Linked DNA regions of Macaca mulatta. The protein of the gene in region 1 interacts with the protein of each later gene in a biochemical or structural test. Links are inferred from orthologs where the notes say so. Each region holds a gene or a part of one and is shown on either strand. Other genes may lie near its edges.

Evidence for each region.
Region 2: the proteins of SUMO2 (region 1) and ZMYM3 form a complex in vitro, tested with the Homo sapiens proteins (2 studies listed by BioGRID). The link is inferred for Macaca mulatta from reciprocal best matches to the Homo sapiens genes SUMO2 and ZMYM3.

Annotation. Positions count from the first base shown.
Region 1 is NC_133421.1:84,873,141-84,877,850, forward strand, and holds the start of SUMO2 (small ubiquitin-related modifier 2), read right to left. Parts: upstream 3,073-4,710; 5' UTR 2,944-3,072; coding exon 2,923-2,943; intron 1,309-2,922; coding exon 1,177-1,308; intron 1-1,176. UniProt on the Homo sapiens protein: Ubiquitin-like protein that can be covalently attached to proteins as a monomer or as a lysine-linked polymer.
Region 2 is NC_133426.1:77,711,669-77,715,720, forward strand, and holds part of ZMYM3 (zinc finger MYM-type protein 3), read right to left. Parts: coding exon 3,910-4,052; intron 3,687-3,909; coding exon 3,521-3,686; intron 2,875-3,520; coding exon 2,777-2,874; intron 2,695-2,776; coding exon 2,532-2,694; intron 2,277-2,531; coding exon 2,164-2,276; intron 1,994-2,163; coding exon 1,819-1,993; intron 1,637-1,818; coding exon 1,490-1,636; intron 748-1,489; coding exon 644-747; intron 323-643; coding exon 154-322; intron 1-153. UniProt on the Homo sapiens protein: Plays a role in the regulation of cell morphology and cytoskeletal organization.

The DNA of each region.
Region 1 (4,710 bases):
TAGCTTCAACTTGGCCGGGCACGGTGGCTCAAGCCTGTAATCCCAGCACTTTGGGAGGCTGAGACGGGCGGATCACGAGGTCAGATCGAGACCATTCTGGCTAACACGGTGAAACCCCGTCTCTACTAAAAAAAAAATACAAAAAACTAGCCAGGCATGGTGGTGGGCGCCTGTAGTCCCAGCTACTCGGGAGGCTGAGGCAGGAGAAGGGCATAAACCCGGGAGATGGAGCTTGCAGTGAGCTGAGATCTGGCCACTGCAGTCCAGCCTGGGCGACAGAGCAAGACTCCGTCTCGGGGGGGAAAAAAAAAAAAAAAAGAATAGCTTCAACTCAGGAGGCAGAGGTTGCAGTGAGCAGAGATTGAACCACTGCACTCCAGCCTGGGCAATAGAACAAGATTCTGTCAAAAAAAAACCAAAAAAAAACAAAAAAAACCCCACGATTTACAAGGTAGATAAGTTCTAGCTTAAAAAAATACGGCAAGACTCCCATCTCAAAAAAAAAAATAAAAAAAAAGACTTCTTGGTCTGGCGCAGTGGCTCATGCTTGTAATCCCAGCACTTTGGAAGACCGAGGCGGGTGGATCACCTGAGGTCAGGAGTTTGAGACAAGCCTAGCCAATATGATGAAACCCCATCTCTACCAAAAATACTAAAAAAAATTGGCCAAGCGTGGTGGCAGGCACCTGTAATCCCAGCTACTCAGGAGGCTGAGGCAGGAAAACTGCTTGAACCCGGGAAGTGGAAGTTGCAGTGAGCTGAGCTCACGCCACTGTACTTCAGCTTGAGCAACAAGAATGAAACTCCGTCTCAAAAAAATAAAATAAAATAATAAAAGACTCTTAAGTAATTTTACCAAGTTCACTCTTACTTTCTTATAAACATAAAATTACATTTCCTTGGTTAAAAAAAAAACCAAAAAACAAGTATTGTAAATACAATTTGATGGATTTCTGGCACAGGACTGGAACCACATATAATACTAAGCAAATCATCCTAAGGGTTTTCATGAGCAAGCTACCAAGTGCACGATAAAACTGACATGCCAAGTACAAGTGCATATTCATCCCATCAAAAAGTCACTGTAGTATTATGCCAGGCTAGTTTTTGTTCCCATGAAAATAAGATTTTTAAAAATAGTTTTATTCAGTGGAAGTACACATATGAATTCCTCACCTGTCGTTCACAATAGGCTTTCATTAGTTTACTAAGTGGTGTATGCCTCTTAATCTTAAACTGCACCACAGAACCATCCTGCCCCGCCACCTTCAAATTAATATGATCGTTGTTCTCAGTCTTGACTCCTTCCTGTTAAAAGAAAAATAAAAGTATAATTTGGGAAATGTGATCAACACACACTTTTATAAAGCAGCAGCAGCCCTAAGTTGCTTCAAAAATCAACAGGTTTCTCATACGGTATGCTAAAACGGCATACGGCTGTTTTCAGCTGCTGAAATCAATGTGAAAGAGGAGAAATCCTGCAGCAACAGTATTAGATAGCTGTCAGATACAGAAAAGCCTACATGCAATACTATCAGTAACAACAATACATGTTTAAAGTTGGGTCCTATTCAGTGTATTGAACGTTCTCTTGAAGCTAAACTTTCTAAAATGGCATATATCACTCCCAAAATATATATTTTACCCCCAAAAAAAGTTAAAAATAAGAGTCTCTTTTCTAAGCACTTTAAGTACAACTGCAAGAAACAAAACAATAAATCTACAGCCTGCCATTCAAAACTCATTACCGTTGTCGTTAAAAAGTTACCAAACTCAGTTTAATAACCTAAATCCAATCTCCATTAAAGTAAACACACACACGAAAAATCGAAGAATATCCCGATTCCCTCCGGAACAGCGGTAATACTCAGGACCACAGTTACGTTCTCCTCTATTAGCAGCTTCATTTTTATCTTCGGTTAAGAGCACTTATTCTCCCCTCCCCTTTGTTGTCATGGGTCAAATACACAGTTTTATCCCAAGTGTTTCTTGTAGATTTCGACCCAACCTAAAGTTGTCCAAAATCGAGTGTAGAAGGCATGCTGTAGCCCTAAAACGCTTCAGAAAGTAAAGGCGCGAGAGGCGGGAGGTGTCACCAAACTAAAAGCAGCAAGTCCCGTGTGCCCCGATGATGGGTGTCCCCCAGTCCTCCCGGGAAGTCTTCGGGTGCCTCAAAAGCCGCATTCAAAAGTTAAGCCGCACAAAGTCTCTCTGCTCCTACCTGTGCCTCCAACTTCATGAAACCACATGGTCTTCGCGGATTAGGGGTTCGTTGGCACCCAGGGAAAAGCCGCTGCCCCTCCCCCCTCAGGTCCCTGAGGCCATTAAAGTGGGAAATACTCCACGGGAATCCCCCTACCCCCAGGCCCAGTACGGCGGCCAGCGGGCATCCAGGTTCCTGCTCATCAGCAGCCCATTGATTCGCCCCGAACCCTCGCCCCGCCGCCGCCGCCCCGGGCAGGAGTCCCCAGATGCCCGCGGTTTCTACCCCTGAGAGGTGAAGCCCGAGCCCAGGGGACTCCCCGCCGCCTCGGAGACTGCAACACCCGACGCGGGGTCGGCGCAGGGTGGAGACCCCGCGCGCCCTAACGCCCCTCCTCACGCGCGCCGGACGGCTGGGCCAAGAATCCCCGTTCGGGGCTGGTGGGCCCGCGGGCGTCCGCGATCTGCCCGCCCAACTCGCGCCCCGCGCGCACTCGGAGGCCGCCGGGGGCGGGAGAGAGCGGCGGGGCCTCCTCCGGCGCGGGAGGGAGGAAGAGAGGGAGGGAGGAAAATGGCGCGGAGCGCCGGGGCCTGAGCTGCGGCCGGCCCTGTGGGGGGCCCGGGAAGGCGCTGGGAGCCAGCGGCGAGCTCTGGCCGGACCCCGGCCCGCGCCCTGACCCCGACCGCGCGGCGAGGCGAAGGGGCCGGCGCCGAGCTCACCTTGGGCTTTTCGTCGGCCATGGCGAGCGCCGGAGTCTCCTCAGCTGCCGCTTCACAAAAGAGGTACCAGGTCCGCACCAAACGAGCACACAAGCAGCACCAGGAGCGGCAGAAGAAGGAGGCGGCAGCGGTGGACGAGGGAGAGGGTGCGCGCACGTCGTGCGCTCCCTCCCCCCACCCTGCGTGCGCGAGCACGAGCCGCCGGGGCCTCCCATTGGCTGGCGCCTCGCGGGAGCGCGCAACGCTTACATAACCACCCCCACCCCCCGCCCCGCGCCACCGCGTCCTGGGCCAGGCGCCCGCCCGGCCGGCGGGAAGAAGCGCGGACACGCGCACCCGGCCCGCCGCGGGGGCGCGCCTGGCTCTGGGCGGGGCTGTATTGTCCTCCTTCGTGGTGGAGCATAATCAAAATGGCTTCCAGCTGGTCCTCGGTGGGAACGATGAGGCTCGAGGCTTTAGACGTGAGCCATAGGCCAGGGAAGGCTGACTGACTAGAGGAAGAAGGGGATTCCTAAATCAAAGCCCCAGCATGAGGTTCTGGAAAAATCTCTCTCTTTCAGTGGACCAGCAGCCCTCCCATGGTTACTTCCTCTCAGTCAGTCTTAACCTGCTTCCCACCGGACTCTTGCCTCAAATGCAGTGTCTTCTTCTTTTTTTTTTTTTTTTTTTTTGAGACGGAGTCTCGCTCTGTTGCCCAGGCTGGAGTGCAGTGGCACGATCTCGGCTCACAGCAACCTCTGCCTCCCAGGTTCAAGCGATTCTCCTGCCTCAGCCTCCCGAGGAGCTGGTATTACAGGCGCACGCCACAACACCCGGCTAATTTTTTGTATTTTTCGTAGGGACAAGGTTTCCCCGTGTTAGCCAGGATGGTCTCGGTCTTCTGACCTCGTGATCCGCCCGCCTCGGCCTCCCAAAGTACTGGGATTACAGGCGTGAGCCACCATACCCGGCCTGCAGTGTCTTCTTCTGTCCTGCTGGTAACCCTAGACTTTGACTAGCTACGGGAAAATGTTCGTGTATTCATTCAACGAACTCCTTACTCATCGCCTATCTTCCAAGAGGAAACAGTATCCTTAAGCGAGAACTACCCAACAATCAAGCTTCCAGCCAATTTAATCATTTCCTCCTTGCATCCAGTTAAAACATAGACATGCATCCCTCCTGTCTGAAGAACAATCCAGTGTGTGCACTGGATTCCATCTTGCTCCTCCCCCTGGGCTTTATTATTTGCTTTTGTCCCTGAATTTTCTTCCTCTCCTCCGTTAGTATAGAAAAAAAAAAAAAAAAAGAAGAAGCTCTCAATTCTATTAAGTTACCATCCTATCTCTCTCCATTCTTGGCCAAACAGCTTGAAAAAATGTCCCTGCCAGCTGTCTCCAACCCCTCCCCTCCCACTCACTCCTCAACCCACTGCAATCTGGTGCTGTCCCCAAAGTTCCACTAAAACTGCTCTCCACAAGGTCACCGCAGACTTCTTTGCTGAATCCAGTATGCTTCTCAGTTTGTCACTCTTTCTCTTGAACTTTGCAGGAGGTAGGTTTTCCTCTCATCTCTAGCCTGTCCTTTGTTCTCTCTGCAATTTCTTTTTCTTACTCACTCCTTCCCTTAACTGTTCCTTAGGGTTTTCTTCAAGATCCTTTTATCACTCAATTCCCTCTCCGAGGATGATTTCACCCGCTTTCGCTGCCATCTCTTTGCTAATGATCCTCAAATCTGTTATTTCTAGTCCACATCTTTCTTCTGAGTTTCCAGTTGGATGTCCCAGAGGCACCTCAAACCCAGCAACTC
Region 2 (4,052 bases), on another chromosome or scaffold:
CAACTCCTCCCCATCTTCACAGGGCATCCTTAAGTCATCACACCCTTATCACTCCTAGACATCTTCAGCTGAATCACAGGCCCAGCCCCTTCTTCCCTTTCCCCTCCTCCTCCCTGTCTTTGCCCTCCCCTACCCCCAACCGCAAGTACTTACGGCCAAAGCGCAGCTCATCACCCTTGCTGGTTTCTCCATTGGCATATTTTGACTGCACCCAGCACTTCCAAGCATTGACACCATATGAATAGTTGAGCCCGGTACAACTAGGCTGACTGCTCATGGAGTCCCGGGAGCAGCTTTCGGAAAGCACCAGCCGCTTTTGACCCTGGAGGAGAAGAGAAAGCAGGGGCATGGCAGAGGTAAGGCCAGAGGCAAGGTGAGAAAGCTAGTCAGCACCATATTTACTGCTGGCCGGGGCAGGGGCTGATGTAAGTACACAGCAAACTTCCACAGCACAGAGCCCCAGGAATAGCTTTGATGACCTTGTGAAATGGGGGAAGAGTAAAGTTTGGCTTTATCTCAGTACTTCTAGTGTTGGAGAAAGGAGGTTAGGGAAGGTCAAACTATGGTTGCTGGCTTGGCTCTCACATCCTCTCCCCTTTGGGCCTCCATTCTTCTTTTGTACATATGGTAGCCCCAGCCCTACCTTCCTCATGGTTCGGGGAAGGTCTTGTTCAGTAGACACATCCTCAGGCCCTACTAGGCCACAATCAAAGAGGAAGTCTACACTGGGATTAATGTCCAGAGGATCTAATAAAAAGGAAAGAAAGAAGAAATCAATTTCTTAAGATCTCAACCCTGCAGCCCTCCTGCCCCACCCCTGCTACTTGCCCACTTGACACTAGATGAGCCAAAGGAACCAGTAAAGCTATACCAAAAAGCATGCTCAGAGTCACAGAAACACAAAACACAGCAATGTGAACTACTGAGCTGTAAACATGTTGAACATAGTGAAAATTTTTTTTTTTTTTTTTTTGAGACGGAGTCTCCCTCTGTCGCCCAGGCTGGAGTGCAGTGGCGCAATCTCTGCTCACTGCAAGCTCCGCCTCCTGGGTTTCCTGCCTCAGCCTCCCGAGTAGCTGGGACTACAGGCGCCCGCCACCACGCCCAGCTAGATTTTTGTATTTTTTTTAGTAGAGACGGGGTTTAACCGTGTTAGCCAGGATGGTCTCGATCTCCTGACCCCGTGATCCGCCCGTCTCGGCCTCCCAAAGTGCTGGGATTACAGGCTTGAGCCACCGCGCCCGGCCGAACATAGTGAAATTTTTATGTTTTTTTACAGTTTAAAAAAAATAATAAAAAAAAGCATGACTCAGAAGTCTAAAAGAATGCACCTGTCCTGGTGTCTCTGGCACTGCTCCCTGTGAGAACCTTCTGTCTTAGAATCACAATGAACACTTTTCAGGGTCATACTCAGGGACACAAGGAACATTCCCTTCCTGATGGCACGAATGCTACCATACCCAGTGGGCACGGCTCCAATCTTACTCACTCTTAGGGAAGTCTGCCTCCAAGTCTTGCCCAGGCTCATCCAAGACATTGGCCATCTTGACTGCCATGGCCAGGACATCATCTCGAGCAGGCCCAAACAGGTCACAGTCTTCCAGGAGTCCCTCTGCACTCTGGTTGCTCACAAGATCTGGGAAGCAGAGAAGTGGGCTCAGTGGCTACAAGCTCCTGCTAGCACCCTCACAAGCTTTCAGGGGCTGATCCCAACTATCCTCCCATTCTACTAGGCACCAAGATCATCAATAGCTCCCCCTCGGGCAGAGACACGCTGGTAGCACCCTGTCTCCCTCATCGCCACCATCTATGGCATACCACAAAGGTCAGATGAGGCCTTGTCTAACTCCTCAGCCTCTGCAATCATTTCTGCCATAGCCAGGATGTCGGCCTCCAAGGGGTTGGAAGGGATCTTCACCTTCAGCTCCTCAATGGTCTCTACAATCTTGTCTGTGCTCTCCAAGGTAGTGGGCAAGAACATGGGCACAGGCACCTGGAGGCACGAATCCCAACTAAATGCCAAGAACCACACCAGCAGTTGGGGGAAGGGGGGGACAGATGATGAGAGTGAAGGGGGACAGTTGATGAGAGTAAGGGGAAAGGGTGGATCTCAAACCTGGAAGGGGAAAGGAGGACCCAGCCAGGAAGGGCAGGGAAACTTACCGGGATAGGCATCGAGAAAGGCACCGGGACTTTCTGGCAGTACAGATGCATAGGCACTGGCACGAAGATGGGCACTGGGATGGGCAGCACAATCACCTGTGGCTTCCACTCTTCTGTGGACGAGAAAAGGGATCTTCTCAGAGACCCTGCTGGACTGATCACATCGGACCCGCCAAAAGCTCTAACGTGCTCAGTGTCACAAAACTGCCCTTGAAGCAATGGCTGAAAGACACCTCTACGATTTTAGGACAACCATATGCATGAGGCTTCAGCTACCTAAGGAATCCCCTTGTCCAGTTCACGGACATAGGGCTGGCAGGCCTAGGACTCCGGAATACAGCCTGTGGCATCAAGGTACCCTGGCTCACCTGTCTGACTCCCTTTGGACTTCATCTCCACCTTGCAGGAGACGCCCCGATTCTGCATCAGCGGCTTACACATGGCAGCCTTGTTTTTGCGGGGTGTTGCTGGGGGCGGTGGGGGTGGAGGAGGGGTGGGAGCCGTGGGAGCTGATCGGGTCTTCACAGGGATCTGCAAAGAAAAAGGAACATTTGTGCCGCCAACTGCCGTACCCTCCTCTGAGATTATCCTCCCCCTTGGCTTTTGCCCCGACCTTGCCCAAATTCCCATTTTCCTCTGGGGTCCTCACTGTGTTGCTGTTCTCCACTTTGGTTTGAGAGGGTGTCTGGGGTTTTGACTCAGGAGACTGACCTGTAGATCAAAACAAATGAATGCTCTCATCCAAGGGACTAGCTCTCCATTTTCCTTACCCCTGTTCCAGGAGAGCTTCATTAACAGGTACACCAAATACAGATGGGAAGTTCTAGGATTTGCCCCCCTTGCCATCCCAGATCTAGTCTCCTCTGTGCCCCAGCAATAGTAGCCTAAAAGACTCTTTGCTCCTTGAGAATGAAACATTACATTTTCCCCAAAAACCCACAATTGAGACCTTCCATTTAGATAGCCTGGGTATCCCTGGAGTTGTGGAGGGGCAGGGGCAACATTCTAGAAATGACAGTCTTCAGTCTCACTAAAGGTAGAGTTTATGCTGAGATTTCCTTATCTCAGAAAAGTAACCGTAACCCCTATATGCCCCATCCTATCAGGATAGGCACCCACTCCCTAATAATATACATTTCATAGACAATCAGTAGACGCTAACTCCAAGAAGTTTTAAATAAGACTTCCCCTTCTGAACCGCAGGGTTCGGAAGCTAAAAGAGAATACAGTTCACAGTACTAGCACCCTATCTGGCCAGGGATGAGGTGAATGCAAGAGGAAGGAGAAAGGGGCTAGGCTTAGGATTAGGAGAGTCCAGGCCCCCTCTAACAGAGTGTACCCCCTGCCCGGGACTCACTGTTCAGGAGGCTCTCGGGCCCACTCTGGGTATCCAGGTTGGGTTGGTTCTGCTGGCTATAGAAGCGCAGAAGACACTGCTGGTTGCAGAAATGACGGATCTGCCCACGCCAGTGGATGGTCTCCAGCAGCTTCCCCTGGCGCTTACAGGCATGGCACCGGGCAGCCTGAGGATGTCAAAAGGATGGTCAGACCTGCCTCCCTAAAATGCGTTGGGCCCTTTCTTTCCCCTGGGATAAGCCATGCTCCTCCGCTTGGAGATCGGGCCGGCTTAGAGATGGAAGGCTGGCTGCCCTGCCTGGAGATCTGTCCACACCCCGAGCTTAGTACCACAGCCTGTGCTCCCCGCCGCCCTCTTTCCCGCCTCGCTCGCGTGCTGACCCTCCTTACCTTGCAGTACCACAGCAGGTACTTGCTTTTACAGTCCTCACTGCAGAAGTCCCAGGTGCTGCCATCCAGTTGCTCAGTGACTCCGCGCTGGCAAGTCTGGGAGCAGTAAGTACAAGTGATACAGCACAAGCCCAGCTTCTTAG